3 linked regions of the Stegostoma tigrinum genome follow. The protein of the gene in region 2 interacts with the protein of the main gene of each other region in a pairwise test. Links are inferred from orthologs where the notes say so. Each region holds a gene or a part of one and is shown on either strand. Other genes may lie near its edges.

What was found.
Region 1: the proteins of pogzb (region 2) and creb1b interact in a two-hybrid assay, tested with the Homo sapiens proteins (2 studies listed by BioGRID and IntAct). The link is inferred for Stegostoma tigrinum from reciprocal best matches to the Homo sapiens genes POGZ and CREB1.
Region 3: the proteins of pogzb (region 2) and nuclear transcription factor Y subunit alpha-like interact in binary tests that used the Homo sapiens proteins (3 or more experiments, as listed by UniProt). The two-hybrid records come from large-scale screens. The link is inferred for Stegostoma tigrinum from reciprocal best matches to the Homo sapiens genes POGZ and NFYA.

Annotation. Positions count from the first base shown.
Region 1 is NC_081360.1:14,408,110-14,416,502, forward strand, and holds the start of creb1b (cyclic AMP-responsive element-binding protein 1b), read left to right. Parts: upstream 1-5,304; 5' UTR 5,305-5,483; intron 5,484-5,491; exon of another isoform or gene 5,492-5,575; intron 5,576-5,657; exon of another isoform or gene 5,658-5,729; intron 5,730-5,763; exon of another isoform or gene 5,764-5,961; intron 5,962-6,488; 5' UTR 6,489-6,638; intron 6,639-8,393.
Region 2 is NC_081400.1:4,827,248-4,835,191, reverse strand, and holds the start of pogzb (pogo transposable element with ZNF domain), read left to right. Parts: upstream 1-4,743; 5' UTR 4,744-5,011; intron 5,012-6,871; exon of another isoform or gene 6,872-7,409; intron 7,410-7,944. UniProt on the Homo sapiens protein: Plays a role in mitotic cell cycle progression and is involved in kinetochore assembly and mitotic sister chromatid cohesion.
Region 3 is NC_081374.1:9,815,374-9,822,959, forward strand, and holds the start of nuclear transcription factor Y subunit alpha-like, read left to right. Parts: upstream 1-4,073; 5' UTR 4,074-4,205; intron 4,206-4,230; exon of another isoform or gene 4,231-5,167; intron 5,168-7,586. UniProt on the Homo sapiens protein: Component of the sequence-specific heterotrimeric transcription factor (NF-Y) which specifically recognizes a 5'-CCAAT-3' box motif found in the promoters of its target genes.

The sequences.
Region 1 (8,393 bases), on a different chromosome or scaffold from region 2:
TAACAGATTCAAGAGAGCACAGTGGCTCAGTGGTTAGCATTGCTGCCTCACTGCACCAGGGACTGTCTGTGTGCAGTTTGTACAATCTCCCTGTACCTGTGTGGGTTTCCTCTCACAGTCAGAAGGTGTGCACGTTAGGTGGATTGGCCATGCCAAATTGTCCATTGTGTCCATGGATGCGCGGCCTAGCTGGATTAGATGGGAAATGCAGAGTTACACAGATGGGATAGGGTGGGGTGGGATGCTCTTCAGAGGGTTGGTGTGGCTTTGATGGTCCAAATAGTCTGCTTCCACACTGTCCGGATTCTATAAGTTATGCTTTCCTCTGAATTAACAACAACTATCAAACAATTATTCAATATTGTTCCACAGTCCAAACCTAATCTCGTATTCAAATAGGATCTTTCATGATCATAGGACATCGCAAAAGCTTTGCACCCTGTGACATATTTTTGAATTATAGTTGCTGTTGTAATGTCAGAAATGTGGCAGCCATTTTTTTTCTGAAAGCAACCTCCCACAAACAGTAATGTGACAATGACCAGAAAATCTATTCTTGCAATGTTGATTGGAGGTTAAGCATTTGTCAGGAGATCAAAGAAACGTCAGCTTTTGTGCTGCTAAGATGCTGCTTAGCTGCTGTGTTCATCCAGCTCCACACTTTGTTATCAAAGAAAAAGTTCCTACTCTTTTTTGAGGTCTTCATAGGAGATAGAAGAGTGGTAAATGGCATAACATCTCATCCTCCAGTGCAATGTTCCCTCAGTACTGATGCTTGACAGTGTAGTACTACCTCACTACTGCCTTTGTGGAGATAATCTTTGCTTTTGTGCTCAGGCTGCAGTGAAACTGAACTCATAACTACCCGAATCTGAAACAAGATTGCTACCTCTTAGCCACAGATTGGCTAGTAAGTACTAAAGATGCCCTAATACCACCCAACAATGTTAGCTAAAGTATCACTCCGACACATACTAATCATTCTGGTTTAAGGGGACAATACTGGAATCATTCCTTTCACACAAGTACTTTATACTACTTAACCCAACTGCAGGTGGATGCAGAAATCTGTTTTTATTGTTAATTCATGGGATATGGCTGTAATTGGCTGGACGAGCATTTATTACCCATCCCTATTTGTTTTTGATAAAATGGTGATGAGCTGCCTTCTTGTTAGAGAGGGAAATCCAAAATTTTGACTCAACAATAATGAAGGAATCACCAACTATTTTATGATGGTGAGTGGCTTGGAGTGGAACTGGCAGGTGGTGTTGTTCCCATGTATCTGCTGTCCACGTCCTTTAGATGGCAATACTTGTGCATTTATAAGTGCCCAGTGAGGAGCCTTGGTAAGTTTCTGTGATACAAAGAGTCATACAGCATGGAAACAAACCCCTTGGTCCAACCAGTCCATGCCGAAATTAATCCCAAACTAGTCCCACCTGTCTACTCCTAGCCCATATCCCTCCAAACCTTTCCTATTCACGTACTTAACCAAATGGTTTTAAAATGTTGTAATTGTACCCACATCCACCGCTTCGCCAGGAAGTTCATTCCACACACAAACTGCTGTTGAGTGTCAGTGGTGGAGTGGATATTTCAGTATGTGATGGCAATCAAGCGGGCTGCTTTGTCCTGTATAGTGTCAAGCTTCTTGACTGTTGTTGGAACCACACTCATCCAGGTAAGTGGGGAGTAGTTCATCACACTCCTGACTTGCGTCTTGTGGATCATGGATAGGTTTTGCGGAATCAGATGGTGAGTAACTCACTACAGTATTCCGAACCATAGACCTACTCTGGTAGGCAAGGTATTTACATAGCTAGACCAGTTCAGTTTTTGTTTAAATGGTAACTCAATGATGGTAATGCCTTTGAATGTCAAGGAATAACAGTTAGATTCTTTGATGTTGAATATAGTTAGTTCCGAGTATTTGTTTGGTGGAAATGTTTGTTGCCACTTGTCAGACAAATGTGAATACTGTCCATAAGACCATATGAAATGGGAGCAGAAATTAGGCCATTCGGCTCATCGAGTCTTTTCCACCATTCAATCAAGGCCGATAAGTTCCTCAACATGCTGTCCCTCCTTGATCCCCTTGATAATCAAGAACCTATCTATCTCAGTCTTAAATGTACTCAATGACCTGGCCTCCACAGCCTTTTGTGGCACTGAATTCCATAGATTCACCACTCTCTGGCTGCAGAAGTTTCTCCTTATCTCCATTCTAAAATGTCTTCCCTTTACTCTAAGGCTAAGCCCTTGGGTCCTAGTCTCTCCTACCAATGGAAGCATCTTCCAACATCCACTCTGTTCAGGCCATTCAGTATTCGGTAAGTTTTCATTAGATCCCCTCACCCTTCTAAACTCCAATGAATATAGTCTCAGAGTCCTCAAATGTCCCTCATATGTTAAGCTTTCCATTCCTGGGACCATTCTCATGAACCTCCTCTGAACCCGGTCCAGAGCCAGTACATCCTTCCTGAGATATGGGGCCCAAAACTGCACACAATACTCCAAAAATGGCCTGACCAGAGCTTATAAAACCTCAGTAGTACATCCCTGCTTTTATATTCAAGTCCTCTCAAAATAAATGCCAACATTGCACTTGCCTTCGTAACTACTGACTCAACCTGCAAGTGGACAGAATCCTGGGCTAGAACTCCCAAGTCTCCTTGCACTTCAGACTTCTGAATTTTCTCCCCATTCAGAAAATAGTCCATGCTTTTATTCTTCTTGCCAAACTGCATGACCTCACTTTCCCACGTTGTACCCCATCTGCCACTCCTTTGTCCACTCTCCTAACCTGTCCAAAGCCTACTGCAGCCTCCCCAGCTCCTCAATACTACATTCCCCTCCACCTATCTTTGTATCGTCTACAAACTTAGCCAGAATGCCCACAGTTCCTTCATCTAGATTATTAAGTATAAAGTGAAATGTTGTGGTCCCAACACTGACTCTTGTGGAACACCACTTGTCACTGGCTGCCATCCTGAGAAAAACCCTTTTATCCACGCTCTATGTTTTCTGCCAGACAGACAATCTTCTATCCATGCTAGCACCTTGCCTCTAAACCATGGACCCTTATCTTACTCAGCAGCCTCCTTCGCAGCACCTTGTCAAAGGCCTTCTTGAAGTCCAGGTAGATAATATCCATTGACTCACCTTGAACTACCCTGCTCGTTATTTCCTCTAAGAATTCTAGCAGATTTGTCAGCAATGTCCTCCCCTTGATGAAACCATGCTGACTTTGCCCTATTTTACCATACATTTCCAGATATTGAGAAATCTCATCCACTACAATAGACTCCAAATTCTTACCCACTAATTGGCCTGTAATTTTCTGTCTTTTGCCTCACTCTCTTTTTAAATATATCTTGCTGCAGTTGGACATGGATTATGTTAGTATCTGAGTAGTTGCGAATGGTGTTGAATATTGCACAGACATAAATGAATGACGGGAGGCCAATGATAATGCAACTGTAGATGGTTGAGCCCAGGACGCTGCCCTGAGGAACTCTGCAGAGATGTTCTGAATCTGAGATGACCAAACTCCAACAACTACAATCATCCTTCTTTGTGGACATATGACTGCAACCACCAGGTTTCCTTTTGATCGCCACTGACTCCAGTTTTGCTCAGGATCCTTTACATAACACTCACGTAAAATGCAGCCTTGATATTAAGAACAGTCACTATCACCTTATCTGTGGAATTCAGCTTTGTACATTTTGATCCAAGGCTGAAATGAGGTCAGCAGCTGAGTGGTCCTTGTGGAACCAAAACTGATCATCAGTAAGAGATAACAGTTTGGAGCTGGAGGAGCACAGCAGGCCAGGCAGCATCAGAGGGGCAGGAAAGTTGATGTTTCAGGTCGGTACCTTTCTTTTCTGAAGGGTCCTGAACCGAAGCTTCAACTTCCCTGCTCCACTGATGCTGCCACGCCTGCTGCGCTTCTCTACCTTCAGTGTTATCCCTAACTCCAGCACTAGCAGTTCTTACTATCTCTGATCATCAGTAAGCACATCTTGGTAAGTGCTGCTCAACAGCACTGTTGACAATACCTTCCATGACTTCACTAATGATTGGACAGTGGACTGAAGGGAAAGTAATTAGCTCGGTTAGAATTGTCTCGCTTACTACATACAGAACCTACCTTGGTAGTTTTCCACATTGTTGTCTAGATGCAGGTATCGGCTGCATGGGGAGGGTATTGCTAATCTTCATTTCTGAATCACTGCAATTGATGGGGGAAGACACATAACCAAAGCATTGTTAAGTGAGTTCCAGGATTTTAGCCCAGCCACACTTGCAGATCAGTGATATAGTTCTAAGTCAGGATGAGTGTATGGATTAGATGGAAACTTACAGGTGGTGCTATTCCTGTGCTTCTGCTGTCTTAGTCCTACTAGATACTACAGGTCACTTTTTGAGATGTTCTCCAAGGTGTCTTGGCAGAGTTGTTGCAGTGTCTCCATGGTACACATTGCTGCAACTGTGCATGCATAATGGAGATGCCAGTCAACTGGGCAGAAGGGAATATCACGAGGGGAGACAGCATCGGAGGGAGGAGCCATCAAGGAAATAGATAAAATCATGAGCAGCCCATTCAACACCTTGGAGCTTGCTTCACCATTCAATATAATCAGGACAAACCACTGAGTTCAATGCCCTAAACCCACCCTCTCCGCGTGTGCCACAAAAGCTCTATCTACTCTCTTCTTGAAAAACGCAACTTTGGTCCTCAACCATTTTCTGTGGTAGGGAATTCCACAGAATCACCCACTCTCTGCGTGAAGAAGCTTCTCCCTATCGCACACTGCAAGTTTTACCCCTTATTCTTGAGCTTTGACTCCTGATTCAGGACTCCGCCACCTTCAGGCATCTAATCTGTTCCATCATGTTAGAATTTCGCAAGTTTCTATCACGGAGGTGGAAGAAGGGAATATTTTGAAGGAGGAACAGCATGGCTGTAGTGGGAGGGGGCGGGGAAAGAACTCATGGTGTGCAAGAGAGTATGGCATGGGAAGAGGCGAGGTAAACTGCACTGCAAGAGAGTCGTGATTGAGACCGCGTGGGGCGGCTCTTCAATACTTAAGAGGAAGTAACATTGCAAATAAGGGTGCAGTTTTTAACCGCGATTATTATGCGGGTCTCTACTGGTCAGCAAATATCCAAACACCCCCAATAAAAACAAATTCAGGGCTGGGAAAGTTGCGCATGCGTACATATACCCCCGCCCGGCGTTGGATCCAAGCGAAGGGGGCCGCGGCGCGCACGCGTAGTAATCAAACGTTCCATTAAGGAACTATTTGCGCGTGCTCTCTTTCCTTTTCCGGAGTTCACGTTTGTTTGTTTTGTTTTTGTTCATCCTGAGTTACACACCCTGATCGTTCGGTGGGGGACAGAAAGCGTGTCTGATTTTTAAAACATAAACGAAACTGACAATAGGATGAGACGTTACATTCGGAACCGATTCAACAGTGCGTACCTGGCGCGACTCGGCTCAGCCCGGACTGGGAACGCGCTGGGGCGGTTGGAGTTTGAAATAGGGTCGGCGGCGGCCGCGCGCGGGTCTCTAGTTGTGCGCTTGCGCAGTTTGATGCAAAAGACGCCTGGCGGTAGCGGCGGGGATTCCCCACTGTCCACGGCGGGTGCGTGCACGCGCAGTTTCCGGAAGCTGGAGCGTGTTGTTGGGGGGAGATGGGGAGTTTAGCGACTGCGCACAAGTAGGTTGCTCCTTCCCTTTCACCCCCCCCCCCCCCCCCCGCTCCACCAGCACACATCCCTGCCGTTCCTCTGTCTGCGCCGGGAGCGTCTCAGTCAGAGAGAGAGAGAGGCTGACTGACTGTGTGAGTGAGTGACGCGGTGGAGGTGTAAGGGACTGACGCGGTGTTTACGTCTCGGTGTGAGTGTCCAGTGGCAGCAGAGAGAGCCGGGGACTTGAGGGAAATAAAACCGGTAAGCGAGATAAATCGAGAGAGAGATAGATGGGTTGGTGTGGGTGTGGAGGGGCGGTGTTGAGGAGGAGGAGGAGGTGGTGGTGTTGGTGAGTGAACAGCAGCTTGCATCTGAACAATGGCGGCTGACTTGTTAGTGAACAGGGCTCCTGGATTGGAAAGAAAGAGTGAGCGAGAAGGGTTTCTCACTCTTCCCCGTTTCTACTCCAGGAACACCCCCCAGCAATGTTTATATCGAAAAGAAAACACACCCCCCCCTTTCCCACAAACCAATCCTTCCCCCGCCCCCCACCCCTCGTTTTACAGAAAAGTCCCCGCCAAAAATCTTATGCATTAACATTTCTTAACCAACTACCACCACCACCCCCCCCCCAACAAACACCTCCCAGTTTTCGGTTTCTAAACACGTTTTAAGAAATGTAGCCACCAGGGAAACTGGCTTGTTCCTATTGCAACATCACTTTTTTTTTCTCTCTCTCAATTTGGTGTTTAAAATAAAATGGGCGTCGGACCGCTACTGTGAGCAAGAAGTGAGAAGATCACGGGTCGTTGTTTCCTGTGCCATGACTGTAATTTCTACACACGTTTGCTTTTAAATCGCCCCCCAAAAAATCGCGCAGTGCCCTGCCCGTGTTGGAATCTCGCTGTGCAAGAGCCCCATCTCCCCCGAATCCTGAGGTGCGGAAATGCATTTGAAACTCCACAAAACATGTTTCATAATATAAATTCTTTCAGCAGTACAGAAATCCACGCTTCTTGGATTAATAGTCTTCTAAAAAGTGAAAGAATGTAGTTCAACTACTGTTAGTGATCTCGTATATTTCCTACAACATATCCGCAAAATTGCTTGCGCCCATAATACATTTTCGCCATGATGAACGGTGCCACAAACAGCTATAGTTTTGTTTAAACAGTGAAACTGAAATAATGATGCAGATTAAAAGTTAACGAGTATGTTTCAACCCATGTGATCCTCCATGGATTTGTTCTACCAGTTCAGAATTAAAATGTTTAATGTAATAATTTGAAGGTAGTTGAAATATTTATTTTGTTTTATAGTAATCCTGTGTATCCATGTAGCATGAATTCTGAAACAATTAACCATGTGCAGGTATGCAAATCTTCTTTGCATATTTCCTGTGGGACCTTTGTTTTAAATGCTGCATTGGCCTAGTTTTCACTTTGCTGCTTAATTCAAGAATAAACAAAGGACTGAATTCACATAATATTGCTTCAGTTAGTTTTGCCATCAGGCCTTTTTGTTAAATGAAGCAATTGCTGTTCTCAAGACAGAATAGTCAGATTTTTTTTGGCTGAATTTTACATGATTTCTCTCCCTGAGGTCTTGACTTTATACAGCTAGGTGATGCTGTGTATTTTTGTTGGTTTGTAAATTTATATGGCCTACATATAGTAATGAATTAGAAACTTTACATTAATGTGGCCTTTTAAAAGGGACACATTTACTTGATTATCAGATCAAGACTTGATCATGGGAGTCATTTATCGAGGGTTTTAAAATACAAATAGGTTTCAAGTTAAAGTACAGTGTCTATTTTTCAGAATATTTTAATCCAGCAGTTATTTTATTGTAATGTATCAGATGGAGGTTTACATAAGATACTTTGTCTAGTTTGTAAACTGTAAATTGGAAATGCCAGAGGCAATGGTCAGTAAATTGGTGAGATTTCCAGAATTTGCTGCTTGGAGCCACAGAGTGGCTCGAACATGCGCTACACGTAGCATCACTACCCTGTTGCCAGATCTGCTCAGATCATAACCTTCATTGAGCCTCAATTTCTGCAAGAACTGCTTACCCATATCTGATTAGTCGGGATATTGGCCCCCCCCCCCATTCTTTACTCATCACATCCTTGGTCCTGGCCCTTCCACTCAAATGTCACTGTAGATGATTTTATAAATTGTTCTCTCTCCTCTCCCAGGAATTATCAACCTTCCCTGTTGAACAGAGAATCTAGTGTCATCTGTTTGCTAGCTTGATCCACTTTTGGATGAGTTTAAACTTCTTTGGTTCATCTAAAACTGTAACCTTCCCATCTCCTCCAATTGTTACATTTATCTGAACCAGACTGTTTCCAGTTTCTGCATTTTTGGGTCCAAAAGAAGGTCACCTACATAATCATTAAAAATGCCTGTCTCCGCCTCAGCCCATCGTTAGGTAAAATCTTCATATATGCTGTTGTCAATTCTGTATCCCATTCTCCACCATACTTAACTTGCGTTCATCCAAAAACTAGAGCTATTATTCCTGTCCCCGATATCTCCTTTGTTTCACTGGCCCTTTGATATTTCTTACTCCCTTGAAGACCCTTAGTAATTTTCTCAGTTCGGGGCTAAGTAAATGCATTTTTAATGACAAGTGTATGACTAAGTATTGTAAATTCAGGAGGTTGGGCTTGGAGATATGATGTG
Region 2 (7,944 bases):
GGTGGTGATTGGGGGTGAGGTCGAGAGATGGTGGTGATTGGGGGTGAGGTAGGGAGATGGTGGTGATTGGGGGTGAGGTGGAGAGATGGTGGTGATGGGGGGTGAGGTCGAGAGATGTGATGGTGGTGATTGGGGGTGAGGTCGAGAGATGTGATGGTGGTGATGGGGGGGTGAGGTAGAGAGATGTGATGGTGGTGATGGGGGGTGAGGTAGAGAGATGTGATGGTGGTGATTGGGGGTGAGGTAGAGAGATGTGATGGTGGTGATGGGGGGGTGAGGTAGAGAGATGTGATGGTGGTGATGGGGGGGTGAGGTAGAGAGATGTGATGGTGGTGATGGGGGGTGAGGTAGAGAGATGTGATGGTGGTGATGGGGGGTGAGGTAGAGAGATGTGATGGTGGTGATGGGGGGGTGAGGTAGAGAGATGTGATGGTGGTGATTGGGGGTGAGGTAGAGAGATGGTGGTGTTGGGGGGTGAGGTAGAGAGATGTGATGGTGGTGATGGGGGGGTGAGGTAGAGAGATGTGATGGTGGTGATGGGGGGGTGAGGTAGAGAGATGTGATGGTGGTGTTGGGGGGTGAGGTAGAGAGATGTGATGGTGGTGATGGGGGGGTGAGGTAGAGAGATGTGATGGTGGTGATGGGGGGGTGAGGTAGAGAGATGTGATGGTGGTGATGGGGGGTGAGGTAGAGAGATGTGATGGTGGTGATGGGGGGTGAGGTAGAGAGATGTGATGGTGGTGATGGGGGGGTGAGGTAGAGAGATGTGATGGTGGTGATGGGGGGGTGAGGTAGAGAGATGTGATGGTGGTGATGGGGGGTGAGGTAGAGAGATGTGATGGTGGTGATGGGGGGTGAGGTAGAGAGATGTGATGGTGGTGATGGGGGGGTGAGGTAGAGAGATGTGATGGTGGTGATGGGGGGTGAGGTAGAGAGATGTGATGGTGGTGATGGGGGGTGAGGTAGAGAGATGTGATGGTGGTGATGGGGGGGTGAGGTAGAGAGATGTGATGGTGGTGATGGGGGGTGAGGTAGAGAGATGTGATGGTGGTGATGGGGGGTGAGGTAGAGAGATGTGATGGTGGTGATGGGGGGTGAGGTAGAGAGATGTGATGGTGGTGATGGGGGGTGAGGTAGAGAGATGTGATGGTGGTGATGGGGGGGTGAGGTAGAGAGATGTGATGGTGGTGATGGGGGGGTGAGGTAGAGAGATGTGATGGTGGTGATGGGGGGTGAGGTAGAGAGATGTGATGGTGGTGATGGGGGGTGAGGTAGAGAGATGTGATGGTGGTGATGGGGGGTGAGGTAGAGAGATGTGATGGTGGTGATGGGGGGTGGTGGTGAGGTAGAGAGATGTGATGGTGGTGATGGGGGGGTGAGGTAGAGAGATGTGATGGTGGTGATGGGGGGTGAGGTAGAGAGATGTGATGGTGGTGATGGGGGGTGAGGTAGAGAGATGTGATGGTGGTGATGGGGGGGTGAGGTAGAGAGATGTGATGGTGGTGATGGGGGGTGAGGTAGAGAGATGTGATGGTGGTGATGGGGGGTGAGGTAGAGAGATGTGATGGTGGTGATGGGGGGTGAGGTAGAGAGATGTGATGGTGGTGATGGGGGGGTGAGGTAGAGAGATGTGATGGTGGTGATGGGGGGTGAGGTAGAGAGATGTGATGGTGGTGATGGGGGGTGAGGTAGAGAGATGTGATGGTGGTGATGGGGGGTGAGGTAGAGAGATGTGATGGTGGTGATGGGGGGTGAGGTAGAGAGATGTGATGGTGGTGATGGGGGGGTGAGGTAGAGAGATGTGATGGTGGTGATGGGGGGTGAGGTAGAGAGATGTGATGGTGGTGATGGGGGGTGAGGTAGAGAGATGTGATGGTGGTGATGGGGGGTGAGGTAGAGAGATGTGATGGTGGTGATGGGGGGGTGAGGTGGAGAGATGTGATGGTGGTGATGGGGGGTGAGGTAGAGAGATGTGATGGTGGTGATGGGGGGTGAGGTAGAGAGATGTGATGGTGGTGTTGGGGGGTGAGGTAGAGAGATGTGATGGTGGTGATGGGGGGTGAGGTAGAGAGATGTGATGGTGGTGATGGGGGTGAGGTAGAGAGATGTGATGGTGGTGATGGGGGGTGAGGTAGAGAGATGTGATGGTGGTGATGGGGGGTGAGGTAGAGAGATGTGATGGTGGTGATGGGGGGTGAGGTAGAGAGATGTGATGGTGGTGATGGGGGGTGAGGTAGAGTGATGTGATGGTGGTGATGGGGGGTGAGGTAGAGAGATGTGATGGTGGTGATGGGGGGGTGGTGGTGAGGTAGAATGACGGTGATGATGGACCCTGGTGGGGTAGAGTGATGGTGGTGATGGGTGTGAGGTAGAGTGATGGTGGTGATGGGTGTGAGGTAGAGTGATGGTGGTGATAGGGTGTGAGGTAGAGAGATGGTGGGTGGCGAGGTAGAGTGATGGTGGTGATGGGTGTGAGGTAGGGTGATGGTGGGTGGCGAGGTAGAGTGACGGTGGTGATGGGTGTGGTGAGGGAGAGTGAGGGTGGTGATCAGGGAGTAGTGAGGTAGAGAGACGGTGATCATGCGGGTGAGGTAGAGTGACGGTGGTGATGTGGACGTGAGGTAGAGTGATGGTGGTGATGTGGACGTGAGGTAGAGTGATGGTGGTGATGTGGACGTGAGGTAGAGTGACGGTGGTGATGTGGACGTGAGGTAGAGTGATGGTGGTGATGTGGACGTGAGGTAGAGTGATGGTGGTGATGTGGACGTGAGGTAGAGTGATGGTGGTGATGTGGACGTGAGGTAGAGTGATGGTGGTGATGTGGACGTGAGGTAGAGTGATGGTGGTGATGTGGACGTGAGGTAGAGTGATGGTGGTGATGTGGACGTGAGGTAGAGTGATGGTGGTGATGTGGACGTGAGGTAGAGAGATGGTGGTGATGTGGACGTGAGGTAGAGTGATGGCGGTGAGGTACAGAGATGGTGGTGATGGGGGGGTGAAGTAGAGAGATGGTGGTGATGGGGGATAAGGTAGAGAAAAGAAGGAGATGGGGGGGTGAGGTGGAGAGATGGTGGTGATGGGGGGTGAGGTGGAGAGATGGTGGTGATGGGGGGGGGGTGAGGTGGAGAGATGGTTGTGATGGGGGGGGGTGAGGTGGAGAGATGGTGGTGATGGGGGGGGGTGAGGTGGAGAGATGGTGGTGATGGGGGGGTGAAGTAGAGAGATGGTGGTGATGGGGGATGAGGTAGAGAAAAGAAGGAGATGGGGGGGTGAGGTGGAGAGATGGTGGTGATGGGGGGTGAGGTGGAGAGATGGTGGTGATGGGGGGTGAGGTGGAGAGATGGTGGTGATGGGGGGGTGAGGTGGAGAGATGGTGGTGATGGGGGGGTGAGGTACAGAGATGGTGGTGATGGGGGGGTGAGGTACAGAGATGGTGGTGATGGGGGGTGAGGTGGAGAGATGGTGGTGATGGGGGGTGAGGTGGAGAGATGGTGGTGATGGGGGGGTGAGGTAGGGAGATGGTGGTGATGGGGGGGTGAGGTGGAGAGATGGTGGTGATGGGGGGGTGAGGTGGAGAGATGGTGGTGATGGGGGGTTGAGGTGGAGAGATGGTGGTGATGGGGGGGTGAGGTAGGGAGATGGTGGTGATGGGGGGGTTAAGGTGGAGAGATGGTGGTGATGGGGGGGTGAGGTGGAGAGATGGTGGTGATGGGGGGGGGGTGAGGTGGAGAGATGGTGGTGATGGGGGGGTGAGGTGGAGAGATGGTGGTGATGGGGGATGAGGTGGAGAGATGGTGGTGATGGGGGGTTGAGGTGGAGAGATGGTGGTGATGGGGGGGGTGAGGTGGAGAGATGGTGGTGATGGGGGGGTGAGGTGGAGAGATGGTGGTGATGGGGGATGAGGTGGAGAGATGGTGGTGATGGGGGGGTGAGGTACAGAGATGGTGGTGATGGGGGGGTGAGGTGGAGAGATGGTGGTGATGGGGGGGGGTGAGGTGGAGAGATGGTGGTGATGGGGGGTTGAGGTGGAGAGATGGTGGTGATGGGGGGGGTGAGGTGGAGAGATGGTGGTGATGGGGGGGTGAGGTGGAGAGATGGTGGTGATGGGGGGGGGTGAGGTGGAGAGATGGTGGTGATGGGGGGTTGAGGTGGAGAGATGGTGGTGATGGGGGGGGTGAGGTGGAGAGATGGTGGTGATGGGGGGGGTGAGGTGGAGAGATGGTGGTGATGGGGGATGAGGTGGAGAGATGGTGGTGATGGGGGGGGGTGAGGTGGAGAGATGGTGGTGATGGGGGGGTGAGGTAGGGAGATGGTGGTGATGGGGGGGGGTTGAGGTGGAGAGATGGTGGTGATGGGGGGGGGTGAGGTGGAGAGATGGTGGTGATGGGGGGGGGTGAGGTGGAGAGATGGTGGTGATGGGGGGGGGTGAGGTGGAGAGATGGTGGTGATGGGGGGGGGTGAGGTGGAGAGATGGTGGTGATGGGGGGGGGTGAGGTGGAGAGATGGTGGTGATGGGGGGGGGGGGAGTGTTACTAATGGTTGCAATGGGGGGGGGTGGAAGATGGATTGAGTTGGGGGGGGGGGGTAGAGTTGATGCACCACCAGAAGAAAGGAAAGGGAATCTTACCTTGTCTTCCACCAATTATGGGATGTCAACGATGGAAGAGGAGGAGGAGGTGGTGGCAGGAAGTGACCTCACGGACCCAGGAAAAAAGGGGATGGGGTCTGGCGGAGAAAGCGGAAGTGACGCAGCCGCCGTTCGCAGGACCCCCCCCAAAAAAACAAAACCGTGTCCCCGCGTGTGTGTGTGTGTGGCGCGCGTGCCCGCCCCTGGGGGGGGCCTGGAAAAACGGAGAGAAACCGTTCCTGTTCCGTTTCAAGAAACCCACACATTTCTTCCCCCCCCCCCACCACCACCACCACCACAACACACACAAACGCAAACCCCCCACCTTTAGAATTCCGCCCCCCCCTCACACAACAACAAAAAAAAACATCGTCTCGTAGCAAGGTGAGGAGGAGGAGGAGGAGGAGGAGGAGGATGGGGGGGGGCGGTGAAAAAAGGCGCGCGGCGGGCGGGCGGCGCGCGGCGCGGGGTGGGGGCGACGGTTGACGGTTGAATTTCAAATTGGGTTTTACGGTTGGAAGCGGCGCGCGGCGGTTTGAAACGGACCTGGCGGCGGGGGGGGGGGGGCGGTTGCGGGCGGCCTCTCGCGCCGGCGGGAGGTGGTTGTGTCTGTGTGTGTGGTGGGGGGAGGGGTAGGGCCGCCATTTTAGGAGGGGGGAGGGGCAACTGGAAAACTAAGGTTGCGGGGTAAATAAATAAATAAAATAAAATAAATGACCTCGATCGCGGCGGGGGTCACGGTTTTCTTTCTCTTCACCCCCCCCCCCCCCCCCCCCCCCCCCAGAATTTCAAAAGCTCGAACGGGGCGTTTTCATCTCCGAAACAGCAACAGTTTTCATTTTTAATCCCTTTTATTAACTTGACACCCCCCCCCATAACAACAGTTTTGTTTAAATCCCCCTGTTATTAACTTGACACCCCGCCCAGCAACACTTTTCTTTTTTAATCCCCTGTTATTAACTTGACATCCCCACCACAAGTTTCCTTTTTAAATCCCCCGTTATTGACTTGACATCCCCCACTCACAACAACAGTTTTTGTTTAAATCCCCCTTTTTTTAATTAAATTGACATCCCCCCACAACAACAGTTTTCTTTTTAAATCCCCCTTTTTTATTAACTTGACACCCCCCACAGCAACAGTTTTCTTTCTGAATCCTCCTGTTATTAACTTGACATCCACCCCCCCAACAGTGTTTTCCTCTGACCCCCCTGCCCACCAATTCCCTCTTAATATATCCTTGCTCCTTCCAAAATGTTCTTTCTCCTCCGCCTACTTTAAAACCAGAAATTTCCCCTCTTCCCCCATTCCCTTTCTTAAATAAATCCCCTTTTCCTTTAAACATTCCCCTTCTCTACAAAGCTTATGTTTTTCTTAAATGTTTTCTCTCTCTTCCTCCTACCCTTGTTTTTTTTAAATATTCCCTCTCTTTTGACCTTCCTTTTCTTAAAAATTCCCTCTCCTCCCCCTTCCTTCCTTTTCTTAAATTCCCTCTCCTCTCCCCTTCAATTCTTAAATATTGCCTCTCTTCTCCCCTTCATTTCTTAAATATTCCCTCTATTCTCTCTCTTCCTTTCTGTTTTTAAATATGCCTTCTCTTCCCCCTCCCTTCCTTTTTATTTTAAATATCCTCTCTCTCTCTCTTCCCCTCCCGTTTTTTCAAAATACTCATTCTATCTACCCCCTTCCCTTTCTTCTTTAAAAATGTTCTATTTCCCTTTATTGAAATTCCTTTCCTTTGTTTTTTAAATATCCCCTCCCTTTTCTTTTTTTAGAACATTCCCCCCTCATTTTTTTAAATATCCTTCTCTGACTTCTTGTAAATATTTCTCCCTCTATTTCCTTCTCAAAATAGTTTCACCTTGCCCCTTCTTTCTGTTCCTTTTCTCTTTTAAATATTCCTTTCCTTTCCATACCCTCCTTTTTCTTTCTTACACTCAATATCTCCACCTTGTTTAAATATTCCCGGTCATTTTTAAAAATGTTCTCCCCTTTCTTCCTGTCTCTTTTAATATTCTCCCCTACCCTTTTTAACTTTCTCCCTCTTACCCCTTCCCCCTTTTTCAATATTGCTTTTCTTTTCCCCACTTCCTCTTCCTGCCTGTCTTTTTAATATTCCCTTGTATTCTTCACCTCCCCCCCCCCCCCCCCCGACATGGCTGACTGTGGGCATTTCCTTCTGGCTTGAAGACTTTTATGGGGTGTTTTCTTGTAGTGTTTTCCCACCACCTCCCCACATTTCCTGCACAAAAATTCAGACAAACAAAAAAAAATCAAGTAAATTCTTCTCACCCTATTCTACGCATGCATTTTTAAACTTTCTTCTTTCTTCTTTTTTTACTTATTCCACTCCAAAATGACCCTCTTTCGTATTCCTTTTCTTCTGTCTTCACTCTGAGGCCCTGTCAGGTCTTTTTTCGCTCATATCTTCCTTTGTGGTACAGTTTCTTCTTTCTTCCCTTTGCATTTTCCTTAAATGTATCACTTCATCTCTGCAAACTTTTCCCCCACAAAATGAAAATAAGGATTTTAACTAATTTTGAAAAGAAAAATTCCTCTCTTGTCCTGCCAAGAAGGTTTGCATTGATTTGGAAAAGGCAGGTCACTTTTACGGTTTGCGTGGTGGTGTTTATGGGGGGTGGGTGACTGTTGGCTGCAGGAGAGTGTTCCGATCCACGTGCCCCAGATTCGAGAAGCACGCGACAGTTCACTTAAAGTCCTTCAGGAGGTTTTGGGATTCCTTTCCAAGGCGACGTGGCAGAAAGATTAGAGAGGGAATCAGGCAAGTGCCCGGAATTTTTGTCGTTTGTAAAGTGCAAGGGTGAGGATATGCCGTGAGCAGGATAGCTGTTTCAAAGAAGCATGATGTTCTGAGTAGCATCTGCCTTCATTGGGTTTGCAGCAATTCGGGCGCGAATGGCCTCAATGGACTGTGTGCCTGTGAAGGATAAAGGATGGGCAGAAATTTTTTTTTGCCGTTTGTGGCTGGGAATCCCTGCCGTGACTCCCTTGGTAGATTTTCTTCATAGGAAATGTTGCCGCCACCACTGCGGATTGCTCCCTTTTCGCACCTTGCCGACTTAATCTTGTGTTTGGACCTTCTTGTTACCTTAGCTGAATGTTATGTAGCTCGTTGGTTCATTCTGTCGAAGTGAATGGAGGAGGGTGGCTTTACAGTTGCTGATGTTACAATGTTGTAATCTGGATGTTGGAGAGTTCCCAAAAAGATGTGAAATTTGCCTAAATGAGTTGAATGGAGGTGAGGTGAGGGCAAGATGATGTCTCAGAGCAATAATCTTCCAATAATCTTCACGCTG
Region 3 (7,586 bases), on a different chromosome or scaffold from region 2:
AGTGCTATTTAGGGGTGTGATTTTGTGGAACATCTACTGCCACTCACCCTTTCCTCATGTTAACCATAATTATACATCAGTTGTGAAGTGTAGTGAATGGTTCTCAGGAATTGGCAGGTCACATGGACATACAAACAAGGAACAAGAGTAGGCCACTCGGCCCTTAAAACCAGTTCTGCCTTTCAATAAGATTGGGACTGATCTGATTTGAACCACAACTCCTCATTCCTGCATATCCCCCATAATCTTTCATTCTCTTGGTAATCAAGAAACTATGCACCTCCCACCTAAAAAATATTTAAAGATTCTGCATCTACTGCCTTTAGAGAAACAGAATTATAAAGAAAAATGTTTTAATCTTTTCCTTAAATGGGTGATCTTTTTTAAAATTATGATCCATATTCTCCTGCAAGAGGAAATATCTTTTCAACACCCACCTGGTCAAGTTCCATCAGGATCTTACGTTTCCAATGTATCACAGACTCTTCTAAAAACTTTAAAGAACACACGTTTTGCTTGTCTCGCCTTTCCTCGGAAGGCAATCCACTCATTCCAGGTATTAAGATAATAAAATTAAGCTAATAAAGCTAATAAACCTTCCCTGAATTGCTTCCAATATGTTAACATTCTTGCATGCACATGGTGACCTGTGCTGTACAATAATCCAAATGATGCAGTCTCACCAATGCTCTCTATAGCTGAAGTATGACCTCTGTACTCTCGCATTCAATTCCCCTAAAAATTAAGCCAAGATGTTCTAATCAATTTTCCTGATTACTTGTTGCATGTGTATACTGACATTCTGCAATCCACCCAGATCACACTGCAGCCTCTCACTATTTAGATAGTCTATTTTGGCAGGGGGAAAAAAAAACTATTTCATACCTCTCCACATTGTACACAATCGGTCAGATTTTTGCTAGTTCACAACTGGTTCATATCCCTTCTGTCCTCTTCACAGCTCACATTCTGGATTTATTTTTGGGTAATCAGCAAATTTAGCTACCATTCCTTCAGTGCCTTCATCCAAGCCATTTTTAAAACTTTTAAAATGTTAAGGCCCCAGCATTAGAGATAATAGGAACTGCAGATGCTGGAGAATCAGAGATTACAAGGCGCAGGGCTGGATGAACACAGCAGGCCAAGCAGTATCTTAGGAGCAGGAAAGCTGACATTTAGGCCCTTCATCTAGGCCCGAAACATCAGCTTTCCTGCTCGGCCTGCTGTGTTCATCCAGCCCTACACCTTGTTATCTAAGGCCCCAGCATTGTCTTCCATGGCACACCATCGATATCCTGCCAGTCTGGAAAAGACCCATTTATTCTTTCCTGCTAGCCAGCAAATCCTCTATTCAAGACAATATGTTACAGTCTTCATCATGAGCTTTTATTTTCCATTATCATATGGTTCTGGAAATTTAACACATCCACTGGTTACTTTTTATCTTGCTTCTTCAGAGAACTCCAAAAAATTAGTTAAACATGATTTCCCTTCGACATATTTAATTATAGCTTCTGTAAGTTTATTTATGGCAGATGTTAAGCTAATTAGTATATAATTTCCTCTTTTCTACCTGTCTCCCTTTTCGAATAATAGAGTTACATTTGCTGCTATTTGGAAAATTAAAACCAATGCTTAAACATTCTGACTAGCTGTACAAGTTAAAAGCAAAATATTTAAGGATGCTGGAAATCTGAAAAGAACACAGAGAATGCTGGAGAAACTTAGGTCTGGTGGCATCTGTGGTGAGAGGAAGAAGTTAATATTTCAGTTCAGCACCTCAAAACCAGCTTCACTTTTTAAGAATCAAAAGCAGAGTACTGGATAAACTTAGGTCGTCAGGCAATAGAGATGAAAACAGAGATAACATTTTGAGTCCAGTGACTGTCCAAGTTCATTCTGAAGAAAAGCAGAATCCTAACAGTGCAGATAGAGGCCATTGAGCCCATCAAGGCTATACTGACAGTGCGAACAGCATCCTGCCCAGACCCATTCCACCCCCCCATCCCTGCATTTTAACATGTGAATACAACTAGCCTGTACATCCCCAGGTACTGTGGGCAATTTAGCATGGCCATTCCACCCAACCCGCTTATCTTTGGAGTGTGGAGAAAACCCACACAGACAAGGAAAGAACATACAACTCTGCACAGTCAGACCAAATCTGGAATTGAACCTTGGCACTGTGAGACAGCAGTGCTAAATCACTATGCCACCCTTAAATGCAACTATGGGATGTGAACCCACATCATGTAAGTATTAGTTCAAAGCCCCTGCATTTCTAACCCAGGCACATCATCAACATACCAACACCACTCAGAATCACTGGACTAAAGAAGGGTTGCTAGGCTCAAAACATTACCTGTTTTTTCCTGCACAAGTACTGCTTGACCTGCTGAGTTTCTCTAGCAACTTCCTCCTTTGTGTAACATTTCTGGTAGTGCTGTTATTTATTTTACTTCACGCCTTTTAAGAACCTAGGGTGAAGCTGGGGATGGTAATAGACTAGTGGTATTATCACTGGGCTGTTAATCTAGAGACCTAAGTAACATTCTGGGGGTTAAAATAGTATCAGAGATAATGGGAACTGCAGATGCTGGAGAATTCCAAGATAATAAAATGTGAGGCTGGATGAACACAGCAGGCCAAGCAGCATCTCAGGAGCACAAAAGCTGACGTTTCGGGCATAGACCCTTCATCAGAGAGGTGGGGTCTAGGCCCGAAATGTCAGCTTTTGTGCTCCTGAGATGCTGCTTGGCCTTCTGTGTTCATCCAGCCTCACATTTTATTATCTTAACCATTCTGGGGGCCTTGTTCAAATCCCACCATGGCAGATGATGGAATCAGATGACTATAAATCCATTGCCAGTCGTTGGAAACAACTCATCTGGCTCACTAATATCCTTTATGGAAGGAAACTGCCATCCTTACCTGGTCAGGTCTACATGTGACCCAACAACAATGTGGTGGACTCTTAACTGCCCTATGGGCAATAAATGTTACCTGCTAAGTGACACCATCATCCTATGAATGAACGAAGAACAAAAAAAAATGGATCTGGGGACTTGTCAACTCACAGTTAAAACAATTAAATTATGTACCATTTCCCTGTTCATGGTAACTCTTGCAAGTTCCTCCCTCAGGTTAAATTCCTGGTTCACAGTTATTTCCAGGACCTTGAGCAACTTAGGGGAGGCAATAGTCCAGTGGTATTATCTCTAGAGTACTAATCATGAGATCCAGGTAGTGCTCAGGGGACCTTGCATTGAATCCCCTAACAACAGTCAGTGAAGTTTGAATTCAATTTTTTTTAAAAAAATCCAGAATCACAAGTCTAAAGATGAGCACAAAACCGTTGCCACTCACTGGGGAAAAAAAAATTACCAGGCTCAGTAACGTTCTTTTAGGGAAGGAAACCGCCAACCTCACTTGGCCTGGCATACATATGACTCCAGGCCCTCAGGTTGACTCTTTACAACTCGCTACACAATTAAGCCTAATCAGCAATACCCTCAGCCCGAATACTAGTTTAGCCTACATGTGAACCCAGACCTACAGCAACGTAGGTGACTCTGAAACTGCTCCCTCAGCAACTGGGAGAGGGCAATAAATGGTGGCCTTGCCAGGGACATCAACAAATCTCCAAAACCTATTATTCAACAGATGGGGCTTATCACAAGGCACTTTCTTGTGACTTACCGTCTTGCCTATTCCTCAACTCAAAGGATGCCTGCTGGTAACTCTTACTCACAGAAGCAAACAACACAACTTCACAGAAAGAAACGACAGCAGCTAAACTGGAAGCCCAACGGAGACGCGAAAGAAAAAGAATCCATTACCAAGATGGCGGCAGCACTGCACAGGAGTCACGTGCCCTGCGGGCGCCGGGGTCCTTGTAAACCAGCAGCACCACGTGAGTCATACCTTTTTTTTTCCTTTGCAGCTGCGCAGTGTGATCCACCCGCCCCCTAACCCGCTGGAGGAGGAAGCCAATGCCGCGCAGGTGCAGTGGCGTGGCCTCCCCGGAGACTCAGTGCCCCCCCCCCCAAAACAAGACGACCGGCCGGAGAGCGCATGCGCAACAAGCGGTTTCGCGAAGGAGAAGGCCGCTCGCAGTTGGTCGCCATCTTGTGCTGCTGTGTTCCTATTCGCCGCCGGGGCATTGTGTTTAATACCGGAGCCAATCAGAGGGGCAAAAGCGCGGGGTAAGTCCGGCAAATTGCTGCCAACAGGCTGCGAGCTGGAGTTGGACAGGAAAATGGGAGTGAGAAGAGGCAGTGATACGGCGTGGGGGTAGTTACTTATGACACCCCCCCCCCCTTTTTCATTCCCCTTCCATTTCGGCATCGGGATTGGATAGATCGAAAAGCGAATACATTCAAGAGTGGGGGGAAAAAAAATCACCGAGCGGGAAAGGGTTTTGGCGGGAAGCAAGCGCAGATTTTTTTTAAAAAAATTTCATTCCCGTCCTTTCTCTTTTTTTTTGTTCTGCCGCTGCTGTCTTTCTTTGCTTACCCCCATTCACCCTTTTCGGTCCGCTTTGCCGTTCACTCTTCTCGGCCCGCGTTCCCCACCCTCTCCTCCCCCCATCTCCCCTGTACAGGGGGTAAAATGGCGGCTGCGTGGGGTCGGGGTAAGGAAATGTCTGTTTCCGCCGCCCCGATCGCTCATGGGCCGTCAGTCGACGGTTGTTGCTTCAGGATGGGGGTCGATGTCGATTCCTCCTGACGTGATTAACGATTTCTTTTTAAATCGGTGTTAGTGTACGCACGGTATTCGCGCTCTGAAATGGCGGGTGAGACTGTCCGGTCTGGCAGTGCAGCCCGTCTTGTTCTCAATCTCTCACTTCGCAGGCTGTCTCTGCGCTACTGACTGGATACACCCTGGGTATTGATCCAGGTGGAAGGAGGTGCTGTTCCACCTTCAATTTCTTCACCACCCCTTGCTCCAGACTGTCCTTTCAAATCACTTGGTCATCTGTATCCTGCTCTGATACCTTTACTGTATGTGAGGAGCGCTGTGGGAATGCAAACTGTAACGCCTCGCAAATACAGAGTTATCATCAAAGATGCTACATTTCTTTGTGAAATGTCGGGAGGACTAATGACGAACATAGAGAAACTTTCAAATCTCCTGTTAACGGGGAAACTTGTATGCATGCATGCTGGTATGTTGGTGTGATCTTTCTAAGACCGATCTACTAGTCGCTATTAGACAAAATTTGTTAGAAATTTCTAACTTAAACTCCTGAAGGAAGTTGTCAGTTGTATAAACGTATTTTCATCTGTGAAAGTTGTTTGTCTGACATGCTGCACTTAAATTATGATGTTGTTGGTTTGTAAGTTTTGGGTGGGCAGGTGTCTGGCTCCAATCGTGATTAGTTTAGGTACCAACAATCTGGCGTTTAAATTTTAATTCCCAGTCTTTGTCCAGTAGTTTGCTTTAAGAGATTTGTTTTGCCCTTTAAAATTTTTGAGCTGACTGTTGTATTAAACTTTTTTTAAAAATATCATACATTTGGTATTTCCAAATCTATTTTGAAAGCTTTCACCTGGTTCTGAATCTGAAGATAAAGTTGGGAATTGATATGAATTTTAACTGTTAATGATAGCCACTTGAGAGTTATAATTAGGGTGTTAAATTTTCTACCTCTCTGAATAAGATGTTAAAATAAATTGATCTATTATAGGTTTATTAAACCTGGAAAATTTGAAGTTATGGATTGACCATTTCATGTTTAGGCATCTTTGTAGAATGCACTTCAAATTGTGCAGTAGTTGTTGGTAATAGAAACAATTGTTTAAGATGATGGAAAAGTATTGAAATAACCTTTTAAAAAGATTTTTACCTGTAGTATGTCAAGGCTTCCAATTAGGATTAACAGGATTGGATTGTCTGCTGGTTTGAAGGATGTTATTGCTTTAAGGTGATTCAGTAACAAAAATTGAACACTTGTATTCAGCGCAGTGATGACTTTGAAAAGTGGGTTTCATGTGAGTGTAGAAATTTGAAGCTGTCTTATTTGCCACACCCACTTTCATTGATGCTAAAAATGTATTGATCTCAAGCTTGATATGGATTCCCTCTATATTCAAATTGCATTTTTTAAAAAAAATCTAAAGTGCTTAAAACAAAAAGACTCTGGAAGCAATTGGAGCCTATGCTTTTCCAGCTCAATATATCATGGAATGCCTAAAATTTTAATTAATTTTTTTAGTTGGTTTAATGTCTGCATCCACACGCATTTGATAACTACTTACAAGAAAAGTAACAAACGAATTTCTGATATACATTATTTTTCAAGATTATCGTCGTCGTAGTACGACCACTACCATTGTAGTATCCCTGCATTGTGGAAACAGGCCCTTGGGCATAAAAAGTCGAGACAGCGCATCGGAGCATCACGCCCAGACTCATTCCCTATAATGCAACTAATCTACACATTCTGTACCCTACGAGCAATTTATCATAACCGATCAACCTAGTCTGCACATCTTTGGACTGCGGGAGGAAACCAGAGGACGCCCACACAGACACGGGGAGACTGTGCAAACTCCATGCAGTCGCCCGAGAGTGGAATTGAACCTGGGTCCCTGGTGCTGTGAGGCAGCAGTGCTAACCACTGAGCAAGATGTGAACATCTTTGAGAAGACCACTATTTAACTTTTGAACCCTAGTTGTCCTTGAAGCTGTTGAGTCATCTTTGAATGTATAGTATGTTTTAATGAAGGTTTCCACAATACAATGAGAAGGAGCTCTAGCAACAGTGAAGGAATGGTGATGTATCCAAGTGAGAATGGTGTATTTCTTGGTCCTGGTTTCCTTTGTGTCTGTTGTTCTTCGATGGCTGGGGTTCTGTGTGTGAAATGTGCTAATGAGGAAACTTTGGTGACTTGCCATGAGATAGTAGGAACTGCCAGTGCTGTAGTCCAAGATAACAAGGTGTGGAGCTGGATGAACACAGCAGGCCAGACAGCATCAGAGGAGCAGGAATGCTGATGTTTCAAGTCTAGACCCTTCAAAACATCAGCTTTTCTGCTCGTTCGTTATAATGTCATGACAGCAGCATTTAATATGTCTGTGGAATGGACTGCTTATCCTTGATAGTGTCAACTATACCCAAACAAGCAAATGCTTTGTATTGGAGAAGCTCAGCAGGTCTAGCAGCATTTGTGGTGAAAGAAGCATTTGACTATAAACATGGTTTCTGAAGTTCACGTGCAGCGTGTACATAAAAGGTTGAATTGAAACATTGACAAGGCTGCACAAAACCCCAGGATCTTAAGAGTGAAGAAGATACAACTAAGCACGATCACTAGAGACAACTGGCTGGGTTTCTTTAAACAAATGTGTGTTATGTTGTTTATCTTTATTTCAAAAGCACTTTGCACAAAAAAATCACAAATACATTGAAAGATTCTATATTGTCTGTTTGGCCTTTGGAAAAGTGGGGGTGTGGGGGGAGAAACACAATGGAATTTGACATTTCTCAACTACTCTACAGTTGCCAAAAATGTGGGAAAAGCCTCTTTTTTTTATACAAGAAGCTTTTCATGTTGAGCTAGTGAGTAGATCTGCAAACTGAA